Linked DNA regions of Oryzias latipes. The main gene of each other region encodes a partner of the protein of the gene in region 2 in a complex. Links are inferred from orthologs where the notes say so. Each region holds a gene or a part of one and is shown on either strand. Other genes may lie near its edges.

Region 1 (4,117 bases), on a different chromosome or scaffold from region 2:
ATCGGAATGAAATCCATTTGAAAGTGTGATTTGATATGACATAAATATTTACTGACACCAAACAAACATTGAAAATTGGGTAAAATATTAATTAAACTTTTTAAGTCTTTTTTTGTTCTAAATATTTACTTTCATCAAAACTTTTTAGGTTTTGCACTTTTTTATAACCTATTGTAAGAGTTTCCTCTTCACCCTTACTGTCAGTTTTATAAATGTTAATTAATGTTTCACACAAAGAGCAGTGAAATGTTTTGCTAGTATTTATGTGTTGTAACATTTTTTTTATTAAAAGTAATGAATCTTTTATCACTTTTTTTTAAAAAATATTACTTTATGATGATTCTGCATTTCCAAGACCAGCGGTGACCCTGTGTGTAGTTCCCTCTTATTTGGTGGATTTAAATCTAGAAGAAGAGGTTATTTTAACAAACTGGAGCCTCATTATTTTTAAAAACATTTGTAATGGCTGAAAGGCTAAAAATAATTTCTCTGATGATAAAAAGTCTTGCTTTTTTGCTATGAGGCAGCCCCATACCATCATACTGCCTCTGCCCAAAGATGTTACCCTGCAGCATTCTGAACGTAGACTTTATTTTGATTCCAGGTTCCAGGGCACTTCACTGCTGAAAGCGTTTAGAGAAGTGTGAGCACTTTTCAGGGGTTGTTCTGCAAACCTTAGGATTTGTAGTAGTTGTCATTCTGGGGTTCATCTCCATCTTTGACTCCTTTCTGTGTGAAACTTGGCTTTCGGTTTGTGGATGAGCTAGAGCTCACCTCAAAAGAAGAGCAACACAAACCGACCACTGCAGCAGATGTATCAATCAAACAAGAGCCAACAACAAAATAAGAGATAACTCAAGACTTTTGGCTTTTTCTCTGAGAGTCTATCCTCAATTCTGCTGCTCAATCCAAAGGTGATTTTTTATTTGGGTAGATGTAAAAAGACACAATGCACTAAAATCAAATGTTCTTCTTTTTGTGTGACAGTTCAGATTTTTGCAATGTAGAATCAAACGTTGTTTATCTAATCAACTGGTTTATTTTCAAGCAATGAAAACGAATAGGCAAACAAAAAAAATAAAGACAAAAAGAATAGATGTATTTCTATACATATGTCAAACATATTTAGGATAAAAAATATGAATTGACTGGATTTTGCAGACGTAAAGATTTTTGATTGGATATTTGTTAAACACTGTTGGTGTTTTTTTAAAGGACAGAGTTAAAATGTGTTCATGAGGATTTAAAAGTCCTTAGTATTCTAACAGCCTCAGAACCGGAAGTGTCTGTGAGCTGTCAAGACAAATTCCATTCAGGCTTTTATTTTGAAGTGCAGTCGCCTCATCCATCACTTCCGTATCTCCTCCTTTGCTGCATGAGTGTTTCTGGCTGCAGGTTTCAGATAAATCATCATGTCTATAGAGGTGGAATCTGCAGAGTGAGTATTTTGTTTAAAATTTCCTAATGTGTTAATTATTATTGGCATAATTTAGCGGCTCATAATTCTATATGTCCTAGCAGTATCGTAGCTGAGGCCTGTTTCATCCTGACTAAAGTGAACTGTCGTTAGCCTCGTGAAGTACCGTAAATGTGGACCATTTAAACTATTTTTTTTGTTCTCTAAATGCACCAGTAAGGCACAGACTGTGCTTATATGTGCGTTACTTATCATTGCTACTTTTGGGCAGCAGGAACTACAACTTGACGATTAAATAAAAGTACTTTTGACGTAAGCTAACGATGCTAATGCTAACTTTGATGCTAATGCGAGGGTCGGCACAACACGGACGAGGATGAAGATGACGTTTAATTTAGGCTCTATTCAGCACAAATGTTTGTATAATTTGATTTTTATAATTTTCTTTTATAATTAAAATGATAAAAAACGTCTTCTGTTAACTAAAACTATTCAGACTATGGACGGTCCGGCTAATTATTAGTCCTAGTTTCGTTCATTAGGGAGTTTAAGATGGAACTTTTTCCTTTATTTGAATATCAATATTATTTATTTCACTGACAAGTGACATGAACTTTTATTCTTTATTTTTTATACAGTAGTTATAAATGTTCAAAATCAAAAGTTACCAAAGTTTTATTTGTGTATTTGTCTGAGAGTTTCATTCATTAATAGATTTCTTCTTTCTGCTGCATTTATAGTAAAATTGTCTAAATATTTTGTGTTATTGTCATACGACAACTAAGTTTTAGAGCCACCATAAAAAATAAACAAATGTTTAACAATAAACTCCAACTTTCCTAAAAATAAATTATAAGAAAGAAGTTGCGTAAAACTATTCAATAAAGTCCTAAATTTACACTAATTGTGTAGCGTAAAATTGATAGAAAGTTTAAATGAAACAAGATAGAAGTGTAAAATGATCAGGAAAAAGTTCAAATTTTATTACTGGTTGAATAATGTCGTAGAACATGTGAGAAATTTACCAAATTCTTTGAGAATAGTTGTTAAATTGTGAGAAAATGTCAACATTTTAAAAGAACAAAGTAGTTAAATTGTGAAAAATCACACCGCTGAATAATTTAAATGAATCTGCTTTTTTTTTTATTGATTTACACCTTTTCTTTACATGAAATTACAACTTTTTTTATGACTGACTTTGACCTTGTCAACGTAGAGCTGGTTAAATCATAGACTTACAATTTTGTTCTCATAAAGTTTTGACCTTTTTCCCCCCATATTTCTGACCATTGTTATTTTTTTTCTTACTGTTGTTTATTTTTTTATTTTTAAGTGTTTTATGTGGCACTGCAGCAAAATCCTAGTCTGTGAAACTGCTTTGTTCAATTGTTGACAATGGCAATAAAAACTCCTTGAATTCTTGTAAATTTTTTTATAACTTTATCCTCATAAGTTTAGTTTTTTTATGATGGTCTGTCATAGACAACAAATCATAGCTCCAATAGTGACGTTTTTGTAAAAACTGCTCAAATACAAAGATATATTTTGCTGCTGTAAAAGCTGCTCCTCATGGAGTTTTAGGCAGTAAAAGTTTGATCCCTAGACGATTGCGTCATTGAACAAGCAAGTTCCTGAAGGCAGCAACTGCTTTTTTGTTTCTGGATGTTTCGAGGGGACTGAACAGCCATTTGTCTTTTCCCCAGCGTGATCCGTCTGATCATGCAGTACTTGAAGGAGAACAATCTGCACCGGACCCTCGCCTCCCTGCAGGAGGAGACCACGGTGTCTCTGAACACGGTGGACAGCATCGAGAGTTTTGTAGCGGACATCAACAGCGGACACTGGGATACCGTCCTGCAGGCCATCCAGTCCCTCAAGCTGCCAGATAAAACCCTGATCGACCTCTATGAGCAGGTGAGCTTGGTGTTTGTGGAGTTCTTTGTCCTGTTCGATATCATCCTGCTTTCTAAAGGAGCACTAAGATGGAACCAAACATCCACTTCATGAAACCAGGTCTGTTCGGACTCACCTGGTCTCCTCTCACGTCTCCTCTTGCTCCTTCCTCAGGTCGTGTTGGAGCTGATAGAGCTGAGAGAGCTCGGCGCGGCGCGTTCCCTCCTCAGACAGACGGACCCCATGATCATGCTGAAGCAGACCCAACCGGAGAGATACATCCACCTGGAGAACCTGCTGGCCCGCTCCTACTTTGATCCCCGAGAGGTGAGGCTGCGAGATTCAAAGAACGCGAGCGCGTTCGTGTTTGTCCGTAACCGGGGACTGATTGGACCGTGCGCTCTATCCAGGCGTATCCTGACGGCAGCAGTAAGGAGAAGCGCCGGGCGGCCATTGCTCAGGCGTTGGCCGGAGAAGTGAGCGTGGTGCCTCCATCCCGTCTCATGGCTCTGCTGGGACAGGTGAGGAACCTGAAAAGCAACTGTTTTCGCCCACTTCCTGACAAGACTTCAACTGTTTACACACGACAAAAATACCCCAGGAAACCGGAGGTTCCTTTGGTGCTGCAATATTTGAAGGACTCTTGAAATTTGTCAAATCGTGTGCTAAATGACAAACCTATAGGCGTTTTCTCTTCTCTAGTTTTGTTTTATTTAAATCTATTGGATTAGAAAAACTTTCTAAATCTCTTTGGACAAAGTAACTGCTCCCCGACACACAATTTAGTGCTTTTGAATCACTTTTCTG
Region 2 (3,023 bases):
GTTGTACAGTAATGTACAACTATCAGTTGTAGATTTAGAATGTCATACTTGTTTTATCTTTTAAATAGTGCATTTTAAATTTGTAATCTTTAAAAGAAAAAAACTGTCAGTTATACATTTTATTGAAGCTACTGGACCAGTTTTTTTTGGGGGGGGTGTCTATATTTTCCGAAAGCTCTGTAGTCTGTCTCAAATTTATGTTTTAGTTCATGGGGAAAGCATTGGATAGAAATGAAATTAGGGCAAATAGTTTTTCTACACAGTTACCGAGAAATGTGTCTGAAAGAGGAATTTTTTTGTGTTTTTATATTTACTTTAATCGGTTTCAAATCATATTCGTAACCATTTGGATTTTGTTTTTCATTAAAAGGCTTACACCATTCAAAATCAGGTTTTTGAGCTTTTAAGTGTATTGTAATGTTTATTTCTCACTATAAACCCCAAAGCGGTGTTTTGATCCGTTTACGCATTTCTGGGTATTCCTCTAAAAATCTGCATTCTGAGCACCGGCGCCTCCTAACCCACGAAAACGAGCGGGTCCTCACATTGTGACATCATTAAGTGGAGAACAGTCGAAGGGGCAGGAAGAGTCTGCACTGCCAGCACCGCCCCCAGGCTAACACACAAACAATAAATTAAAAGATAAAATAATCAAACATTGATTAAAAATAAACATCAATGCTACTTGCACCTCACGCTTCCCAGCCTGATTTCTCTCTATTAAAATGCGAGCACTAACCTTTGAAATGTGTTTCCTTTATTATTTTGTAATAAATTATTTTGTTGTCATCATTTTTGTGGTTCATTGCAATACATCGTGTCCCCGTTTGTAATTCTTTGCGGACTTTGGACCTCGTCGTTTCTTCACCAAACAAGTGAAGACTCAATGTGTAGTAATGGCGCTTGTGTGTCATGCCGTATGTCCCGTGACGGCCAATCCAGTAACAAATAACAATGAACAAAGATGTAACAACAGTTTTGTCTTTGAGAATTTTTGAGTAAAAACAAACAAGTGACCCCTTTCCTCCATAAAGTCATCGTATCCTTTCCTGTGTGTCACAGAGGAGGCAGGTCCTGGAGGAGGCAGAGATGCTGGACCCTCGGGTCAGCGCTTTGGAGGAAGACCTGGATGAAGTGGAAAGCAGTGAGGAAGAAGATGAGGAGGACGAAAAGGTAACGGCCTTTGATGATGTGTTGATCTCTTGGTTTGGCCGAATATCATTGCAGGAGTTATAACTCCGTGTTTGCTTTCCGTGCCCACAGCCAGAGCGACTGCACTCCCCCGAACCTCACAGGCGGAGTTACCGTGACAACGACAGACCTCGCCGCTCACCGTCGCCACGTTACAGACGCAGCCGCTCACCCAGACGGTGGGTGTTGTCTCAGATCTTATGTCGTTCATGTACAGTGCTCAGCATAAATGAGGACACCCCACTACATTTGTCCGAAAACCTTCAGTGTTCTTTTGGAATTAACATTTTTCTACACAGGTGGACCATTGATTGCAAACCAGATATTTTAAGTTGCACACAAAAACGTGTGTTTTTGTTTTTTGACCTAACAAATTAGGTCACGCCCACGTTGTAAAAAGGAGTACACCCCAGTCAGAGTCTTAGGAGAAAAGCCAAACTTAAGACTACAGAATTCTAATTATCAGGCATTCAACCACAAGTGAGTCTACTGATTCATTTAAGACGTGTACAGCACAGAGGTGGCTAGAAAAGAGCATTTAACCAAAGAAAAGCCTGTCCTTTCTCAGATATTGTGACATTTCTTTTCCATGGGTAGCTATCGGAGACAGCATGAAATGGGAAGGGCTTTTTGGATCGTAATCTAAAAATTTAAGAAAGATGGAAGTGCAACCATCTTACAGAGACGTCCAGGCCGTCAACAGAAGCTAACATCTGAACAGGAGCGTCTTCTGATGAGAAAGGTTGAAGAAAATCGCCACTGTAGTTCACTGCAGTTAGCTAAAGCAGTAGAACGCCAAACTGGAGTGACCGTTTCCCGTGACACCATCCGGCGCACGCTGCAGAGGAATGGCACGCATGGTTATTGTCCACGAAAGAAGCCTTTCCCAAAGCCCGTGCACAAAAAAGCACGTCTAGAATTAGCTAAAAAAGATAAAGGCCTCAATACTCTGAAGTGATGAGACAAAGATCCCCCTTTTTGGAACTAATGGTTTTAAAACTATGGTGTTGCTGAAGTGAGAATTTCAAAGAAAAATGCATGGTGCCTACAGTGAAACATGGTGGTGGCAGTGTGCTGATGTGGGGCTGCTGGTGTCGGGGAGCTGCATTTCATTGATGGCATCATGAACTCAACAATGTACTGCTCTATACTAAAGGAGAAGATGCTGCCATCACTTTATGCACTTGGTCAAGGAGCACTTTTCCAACACAACAATGATCCAAAACACACTCCTGAAGCTACTGCTGCATTTCGGAAGAACAGGGTGAAGGTGATTGGATGGCCAACAGTGTTAGAAATAAGGGGGAAAAAATGGTTGTCCGAGGCAAGTAAACTTGGTTGTCCTCCCCAATTTTTGGTTTTCCTTCGATACCAATGAATTCAACAGCAACTAAACCTACTCAGATGTCAGTACTTACATCTTTATTTCTTCTATACATCTAATATTAACTGCCTCTTATGATGGACATTTAAAAAACTCTTTAAAATTAAAAACAAACATTTTACTAAATACTGAAGCATCTGGTTACACAAAGTATTGCCAAAAACTTGAAACCAATATCTTTATAACTAGTATCTTTACACAGATTTAAATATATTGGTTATTTTTTTCTTTGGTTTTTGATAATTGTTCCTTAAAGAATATAAAATACCAAAACTGTTGTAAAAAATTTAGAATATTATATCAATCCCATGGAAAAAGTTTTTTTTTCCAGCTCATGTCAGTCTGTTCTGTTATGAGTGAAAGTTATAGTGTTTATGAATGTGTTTTAAATCTTTTTGCGTGTTTTTGGAGACCTCTAGCGGTCGCGCCAGGTACTGTTGTTCAACAC
Region 3 (3,951 bases), on a different chromosome or scaffold from region 2:
ATGCTTTTAAATAAGAGAAACAGTCAGCTTTAAAAGTTCAAACTTTAATGAAAAATGCATTGTTTTTAATTTTTAAACATTTCCAAGTTTTAGACCTCTTTGACATGTAATTGAAATTATTTAGAAAAGCCCAACAATAAGTCAATAATAATAATAAATAATAACAATATATAAATAATAAGTCAATAATAATAATAAATAACAAATATAAATAATAAGTCAATAATAATAATAATTAATAACAATATATAAATAAGTCAATAATAATAATAATAATAATAATAATAATAATAATAATAATAATAATAATAATAATAATAATAATGAATCAATAAATAATAATAATAATAAATCAATAGTAAGTCAATAATAATATTGAATGATAAAAATAAATCAATAATAGGTAAATAATAATAAATGATAATAATAAATCAATAATAAGTCAACAAAAAGTCCAAAAGTCAACAACAGATTTTCCCCTTTAAAAAAACAAAGAAAAGAAATAGATTTACCTCCTGATTCATGTTAGTGATAAATTTGTGTGACACAGTTGGTTTAGTGTCGGGTTTCAAGCTAACAGTCTGGCCAGTCTCATCAAAATCTGTTTCCTCAAATTGTTTTGAACATAGCCAGACTGTATTACTAGTTGGTACCACAGTGATCCATCTGGGTTAGCTCTTTTTATTGCTAAGGCCCACTTTTTCCTTAAGTCTGAATCCATTGGAAACCTGCAATAAAATTTCAGTCACTGAGTCAGAAATGTATAAATCTCTATTACTATAATAGCCTAGTATAATGTATACAGGTTTAACACAATAAAGTTTACATTTATATCGACAGCAAATTATACGTACATCATGCCTACATGTTGATAATCGCCCTGCAGCATCATGCATGAAAACATGTGTATGATTAATGATGCCCCTGCAGCATTAAAAGAAAAAAATATATAATACTTACCTGTGAAATGTTATGCCTTCCTCCTTCGTGGACTCATTTCTCTGATTTTGGCAGTTGAAACCCGAAAAATGAACTGGTATTTTGCAAGAAATGTGTTCACATGCATGCACTACAGCAGTAATTTGACCTCACCAAGATGGCGATGCTCTCCCCCCTTGAGGAATCACGTGATGTCTCCTCTACCGATAGAACTAAATTTAGACAGGAAACTAGCAATGACGAGCTGCAACATCCGGTGACGTATTTTCCGTAGGTAAACAAGATGGCGTCCGGCAGTGGGGTGAGTTTCCAAGCAGAATTTCTCTGCCCCTGTTTGTTGTAATACAGTTTAATTCAATAAACAAGATTAAAATTCTTCACTTTATATTTGGTACCGTGGAGGCGTTTTGACTGTAACCGTTACAGACATCAGCTGCTGCCGTTAGAAGCGCGGCCTCGGACTAGCAGCGGCTAACTCGCTCTGACGCTTGGGTACTTTATTTGCAGAATTTTACGGCCCTTTTTAAAAAAAAAAAAAATTAGTACCAAAAACGTTTTGACTCAACCGCCGTTAGTTTTTATCTTTAAAGGACTAATTCAAAGGTGTAACGAATTCCGGTGTGGCAAAATAAAAGCTCTTGAAGTTTATTTCGTAAAGCCGACTGTGATGATAATAAATGAAACTGTAATAATAAGGATAATGTCCTTTTTGGTTTTTGCAAATATGAAACAATGTTTCTGTTGCTATATTATAAAATTTATAAACCCACCCCTGTTGAAAATGTTTACTTTGATAATATGAATGAAAGGGAAGAGCTGTCGATCAATACAGACCATGAATTTCTGCTTTTTTTTTTTTTTTTTGGATGCTGGTGTGCCGCGGGATCTTTTTCAGGGTTAAAGTGTGCCGTGGCTCAAAAAAGGTTGAAAAACACTGGTCTAGAGTGACTTAGGGTTTCCTGTCCTGTAAGCACAGCTCCACCAGCAGGCGTATCCCCCTGGAGCCTGACGGCACCATGCATTTGGAGAGCTGATCAGTTTCAGGCTGCAGCTGCAGCCAGGATCAGGCTGTTGAACGGAGATTTCTGAAAAATCTAATGTTCATTATGAAGGATCTCTTTGGACTCATCTGTTTATCCAACATGGATGCTTCCCGTCAGCTGGATGTTCGGCCTGAGCCCTCCCCTTATCTCGGGTCACGGAGTAGGAACAGCCCTTTTCCCAAACACCATTAAATACGAGCAGCAGCATGGCTCACGCATAAATCATGGGTCACACGTTCCCCATGATTTGTGCGTTCATCCATACCTCTCTGAGCTTTTGGAATCTCGGTTAAGCTCATATCTTTCCCTGGAGGGACAGAGATCCAGGAGGAACCTCTGGGAAGAGCCAGCTCCTCCTGTTTGAGCTTGGAAGGTGCACAAGGCGTCAGCTCTGACAGTCCAACAGGCATCTTCACCGTCTGCATTTAAACATTCTTCTGACGAAGCATGAGGCTTTCCTGCTTTTGTTCCTTCTCTGTTGTTGTGTCTCTGTGGTTCTGTTTTAGAGTTTTATCAATGAAGTTGAGTTGAGAAGCTGTTGCTCTTTTGTCAGGAGGAGTAAAAGCTCCTCGTCTTCATCAGCTGAATGTTTGTTGAGATGTGAAGATAATCGAGGCGCTCTGAGTCATCTTCTCGTGTCTTCCAGTCCAGCAAGAACGACTTCCGGCGGAAATGGGACAAGGACGAGTACGAGAATCTCGCTCAGAAGCGGCTGAACGAGGAGCGCGAGCGGGAGCTCAGGGATGGTGAGGGCAGCGCTCTCCGTTCTTTGGGGACCCTTGGGGGTCAATCGCTTATCACCCCTGACGCATGACCTGTTGGCTCTTTCAGGAAAACCTGTCCCTCCCGTCAAGCGGGAGCTCCTGCGGCACAGAGACTACAAAGTGGATCTGGAGTCCAAACTGGGGAAAACTATTGTCATCACCAAGACCACCCCTCAGGCGGAGATGGGCGGGTGAGTTCCTGACGGCTTTGGGTTTGGAAAAATGGAAAACTGAAACTCTTTGAACCAATAAGAAAAAGTTGTGGAGCAGAAACGGACAGGTCTGGGTTCTGGTTCCGACATATTTTTTTTTTCAGATATTACTGCAATGTTTGTGACTGTGTGGTCAAAGACTCCATCAACTTTCTGGATCACATCAACGGCAAGAAACGTAAGTACACCTGTGCTTTAGGGAGGGGCCAAGAGCGCAGATGTAACGTGGATCATTTTATACAGTCAGGTCCATAAATAATGGGACAGCGACACAATTCCAACATGTTTGACTCTATATGCCACCAAAATGGATTTGAAATAAAACGAACAAGATGTGCTTTAACTGCAGACTGTCAGCTTTAATTTGTGGGTATTTCCATCCAGATCAGGTGAACTGTGTAGGAATTACAACAGTTTGCATCTGTGCCTCCCACTTGTTAAGGAACCAAAAGTAATGGTCAGAACAATAATCATAAATCAGACATTTACTTTTTAATACTTGGTTGCAAATCCTTTGCAGTCAATTCCAGCATGAAGTCTGGAACTCACAGACATCTCCAGACGCTGGGTTTCATCCCTGGTGATGCTCTGCCAGGCCTCCAATGCATCGGTCTTCAGTTCCTGCTTGTTGTTGGGGCATTTTACCTTCAGTTTTGTCTTCAGCAAGTGAAACATTGCATAACATTCCACTTCTTTCCCTTAAGAAGGCCTTTAGTTGCGGTTGCAGTTTGCTTTGGGTCATGGTCCATCTGCACTGTGAAGCGCCGTCCACTGAAGCATTTGGCTGATCATGAGCCCAAAAGCCTTCAGAATTCATCCTACTGCTTTTGTCAGCGTTCACATCATCAATAGATAGAAGAGAACAGTTCCATTAGCAGGCATACATGCCCACGCCATGACAATACCACCACCATGCTTCACTGATGAGGTGGTATGCTTAGGATCATGAGCAGTTCCTTTCCTTCTCCATACTCTGGTAGAGGTTGATCTTAG
Region 4 (4,140 bases), on a different chromosome or scaffold from region 2:
TTTTTCAACTATGTTTGCAACCTTCTGTTCAGTTTCAATCGATCATTACAGAGAACCTGCTTCATTGAAAAAGTTGCACAAATTCATTTTAAATTAATTAAACAGCAGAGAGAAAACCAAAAATATCTCTCATTTCAATATCTCTCATTACTTCAAATGTATGAAATCTTCACTTTAATTGATCTTTTGCACTCTGTGTGTTTGCTACTCTTTGAAAATTACACATGGAACCATTTGAAATTGTGAAGAAGAGAATACTGAAAGAATGCGCATTTAAAGGACACGCTAAGAACTCTCACCTATCATGACAGCTCTGCCTTTAGGGTCTACAGCCAGGTATTGTCCCGGGACGATCCGTCTGCAGCCGCTCTTCCCAAAGGTTTCCTGGTGGATCTTCTCAAACATGTTTTTAGATGGATGATACTCCAGGATGACGATGCGTCCGCTGTCACTTCCAACAACAATATAATCTACAAACAAACAAATTAACCAAACACACGCTTTGAGAATTTGTTTTGAAAATGAGGATAAAGTAAACGTGAAAAAAGGGCTTCCTGCTAGCTTAAGAGTTTTGACCTTCATCAAACACAGTCACTGAAAACTGACAGCTTATATTTGGGGGAAGATCTCTGTCCAGAGTAAACCAAACCAGAGCAAAACACACACAAAGCTTCAACAGTAACAGTTAACTGACAGATTACTGAGAAACATCACAATTAATGACAAGAAGAAACAGTTTTCAAATCATTTTCAGCAGCACAAATATCAAAAGCAAACCAAATCAAGTGATTCAATAAGCAGCAACATTTCTTTCTAATCCTTTGGTACCTAAACACCTAATTTTACAGGATAAAGTTCAATGAGGAGAGTGAAGCTTATTTTATTCCTCATCATTAAAATTAAGCGAAAGAATCACATACAAAAATCTGTAAATCAGTACCAAAGCCTTTTTAGAATAAACTCTGACCATTCTTTTAGGAAAAGCAAAATCAGCAAATCTTTCACCTGTAACATATTGTTAAATAATGATGGTTACATACCTTTAGTTCCTCCTGTGAGTCTGAAGGCCATCAGCGATCTCACAATACCAAACACTTCCATTGTGAGGAGTGTGTGCACTTTCCCCGTGTTGGCGTCTGGGCGCAGTAACTCCAGGATCTTTCCTCTGGAAACTACAATCTCCTGCATTTTGGTTCCTAAATAATGAAAAACAAAATGTATTGACATTAGATAAGACGTTTGTGAAGAAAAAACAATCAGCTTTGTGTTGAACCATTTGACAAATGTGTCTATGAAGACTCTCATTCATCCAGGTCGATTCCATAATAGGAGTAGGTTTAGAGGCCGTCATTTGTACTTTAAAGTTAGAAGATGTTTCACCTCTTATCCAAGAGGCATTGTCAATTCTGAATTGGCTGTAAAAGAGCTGGTATAGATGCGCTCATGGGGGAGGAGTTTCAGGTCTGACTCCTCCCCCATGAGCGCATATATACCAGCTCTTTTACCCGCCCCTAAACCTACTACTATAATTTGACAAATGAATTTATTTAGGACAATGAAGGAAAAAAAATAACTTATGTCTTTGTTTTCATGTAGATGCCAAGTTAAGGTCTACTTAAGGTAGATTTGGAGAAGAAATGGTTTAATGGATATTTGCATCAATAGGCATCAAAGGATTAAGGGGAGAATGGCACATTTTGGAGTGAAGAAAGGAGTTTATGGTCTGCAACTATAGTACCTACATACTACTACAAGCTTTTCCCAGTAGCATTTTTGTCTGCTACCAATTCCCAATTATTTGAATAAAGAAATACTCAGAAATGCAATTTAAAGCTTAATTTTCTTAGTGTAAGTCCAGCATGGAAAGAACGTATTAAAACACAGCTTTCATTGGTGTGGGTCTTGAGTGACAAAAGCAGTGGAAGGCCGTCATAGTACCGCTAGAAGCTCACCTGAGAAGTTTCCATGGATGGCATGGCTGATGCCGGTAGCGCGCTGCAGGGTGATGTTGTACAGAAACATGATTGCTGGTCAGTTGTTTCTACACAACGACCTTCTGGAGCGGCTAACTGAACCTTAGCCCGGGTGAAAGCTACAGGAAAAAAATTAAAAAGTATATTTACCAACTCTGCACAAAGATGTGACAAGTGACACGCAAACTAAGCAACTTTTAGTATCAGGCACGTAAAATGTCAGGGAAAAGACGCACGTTGAACTTGGTGAAACAGATCAAACTTAAACAATTGTCTAAATACAACAAGAAATAAACACTGAAGTATGGGATTTGAGGACGGGAAGGGGTTATATTTTGTTTACACACTTCACAGCAACTGCCAACATTAGCTAGCTATTTTGTAATAGCATTAGGCTTTACCTTTTTAGCATTTTACACAATATGTTATTTAACGACCACGAGACTGTGGCGTATACAACTCGAGCATTGCTGTTGCGATATCCCAAAAAAGGTTTAAAGGGAAAAAAATTAATATGAAAGGAGTCATTATTCAGTCTGCTAGCTTGGGGGAGCCTATTCATTCAAGGCGCCACTTTTACCGATGAATCTACAGCTGTGCAGCTTTTTCACCGATATTTTTTACACATTAAAAAAAATATAAAGCTCAACAAGTTGAACGGTGATGCAGATTTGTAAATTGAAACTTTTACCAGTGGGCTCAAAGAGATGATTCAGATTCCAAAGAGATTTAACTTCATGAAATAGAACGTTTTTCTTTAGCTCCGACGACAAGAAGCCGTTGGAGGGTCCTTCGCTTTGCGATACGTAATGGATATAGGTGGCCCGCCCGATGCCTGACAAGAATCAAGAGCTGTTGATGAGTTAAACGTCCACGAGGTGTCGACAAAGACCAGTGAGTCTAAAATACCACGAATAGCTTAAAACTCAAGTATGGTGAAGCGTGAAAAAAACGTACAAATGTTAAATTTAAAAGGGTGGAAATAGGACAAATGCAATATTTAGAAACGAATGGACATTTGTTGAGCAGCGCATTTGAAACCAATGTTACAATTATTTATTTTAGCTGTTTTTATTGTCTATGTTGCTACGTGTGCATGTTGCAGTGATAGATACATGGCTGTGATTCCTAAATGTATTTTTTTGATTTGACCAACATTTTGTTTATTTGAATAAGTGTGAAACGTATTTATTTTGGTCATGTTGTTTTTAAGTATTTCATTTTTGAGAGTTTTTATTCCACTACCAATCATACTATGACCGTCATTCATAATGAAAATTATTATAATAAGAATAATATCAATATTAATTATAATTACGGGCATTCAGGGAACCTACAGAGGGATATTTTGCATAATTTGTTGACAATACAAACATTAAATTATGAAAAGCTCAGACAGGAAGTTGTAGTTTTGGCTCGCGCAGATGAAAGTGGCAGCCGCCGGGCTCAGTGTGAATCTGCTCTCCCTTAAAGAAACCGAGCCGCGCCGCCTCTCGGTTTGTAGCAAAGGGTCGTCCCGACGAACGAACAGTCTCCAGTTGCCTCCCTCCCTCCCACCCTCCCACCCATTCCGTAATGCCTCCGTTTCCCCGTGTCTTTCTTAGCAGGCTTTAGCCTCATGAAACATTAGTTGTTGCGGGTTTAGCAGCCCTTGTCTCCTTCACCCAAGGGTTATTGAAATTCCTCAGCTTGTTTTTCCCCGGAAACATTCAGCCATTTAGATTCAGACGGCGTGACTGCACGCTGGGAGCGCGCCGTTAGACGCCCGAAGAGCAGCATCAGCAGCAGCAGCAGCATCAGCGCACGAGGAGCGGCTGGAGGACGCTCGTGCCCCGCCAGTGCATCGAGGTGAGTCCCCCCCCGCGATAAGGGCATCTTTAAACCAGACAAAGCGTCGAGGTGGCTCATTCTGAGGGGTGATGATGAAGGTGCATCCCTCTTCCTCTGGCGTCAGCCGCTGATGTCGAAGGCCATCGTCCTGCATGTGCATCTCAGAATAAAGTGGCTTCAAACATGGACTACTTCCATTTGATTTCTGCCACCGGTTGGATCTTTCCAGGGTAAAAATGCAAAAACAGGCCGGTTGAGAGGACGCTTTAGGTCTGTTTCTACGTTTGAGCAGAAAACATGCTGCTAAAGCCTAAACGTGGACCATTTAGTATGGGGC

What was found. The genes of interacting proteins can lie anywhere in the genome.
Region 1: prpf38a (region 2) and WD40 repeat-containing protein SMU1 share a complex: the UniProt entries of both Homo sapiens proteins name them as parts of the spliceosome B complex. The link is inferred for Oryzias latipes from reciprocal best matches to the Homo sapiens genes PRPF38A and SMU1.
Region 3: prpf38a (region 2) and zmat2 share a complex: the UniProt entries of both Homo sapiens proteins name them as parts of the spliceosome B complex. The link is inferred for Oryzias latipes from reciprocal best matches to the Homo sapiens genes PRPF38A and ZMAT2.
Region 4: prpf38a (region 2) and sf3b3 share a complex: the UniProt entries of both Homo sapiens proteins name them as parts of the spliceosome B complex. The link is inferred for Oryzias latipes from reciprocal best matches to the Homo sapiens genes PRPF38A and SF3B3.

What each region holds. Positions count from the first base shown.
Region 1 is NC_019868.2:28,087,898-28,092,014, forward strand, and holds the start of WD40 repeat-containing protein SMU1, read left to right. Parts: upstream 1-1,317; 5' UTR 1,318-1,412; coding exon 1,413-1,438; intron 1,439-3,120; coding exon 3,121-3,331; intron 3,332-3,484; coding exon 3,485-3,637; intron 3,638-3,720; coding exon 3,721-3,831; intron 3,832-4,117. UniProt on the Homo sapiens protein: Involved in pre-mRNA splicing as a component of the spliceosome. Regulates alternative splicing of the HSPG2 pre-mRNA. Required for normal accumulation of IK.
Region 2 is NC_019862.2:23,723,324-23,726,346, reverse strand, and holds part of prpf38a (pre-mRNA-splicing factor 38A), read left to right. Parts: intron 1-1,062; coding exon 1,063-1,173; intron 1,174-1,263; coding exon 1,264-1,370; intron 1,371-3,023. UniProt on the Homo sapiens protein: Involved in pre-mRNA splicing as a component of the spliceosome.
Region 3 is NC_019872.2:3,288,058-3,292,008, reverse strand, and holds the start of zmat2 (zinc finger matrin-type protein 2), read left to right. Parts: upstream 1-1,151; 5' UTR 1,152-1,222; coding exon 1,223-1,240; intron 1,241-2,628; coding exon 2,629-2,728; intron 2,729-2,813; coding exon 2,814-2,937; intron 2,938-3,062; coding exon 3,063-3,136; intron 3,137-3,951. UniProt on the Homo sapiens protein: Involved in pre-mRNA splicing as a component of the spliceosome.
Region 4 is NC_019864.2:25,095,881-25,100,020, reverse strand, and holds the start of sf3b3 (splicing factor 3B subunit 3), read right to left. Parts: upstream 2,801-4,140; 5' UTR 2,665-2,800; intron 2,093-2,664; 5' UTR 2,023-2,092; coding exon 1,953-2,022; intron 1,197-1,952; coding exon 1,041-1,196; intron 471-1,040; coding exon 300-470; intron 1-299. UniProt on the Homo sapiens protein: Component of the 17S U2 SnRNP complex of the spliceosome, a large ribonucleoprotein complex that removes introns from transcribed pre-mRNAs.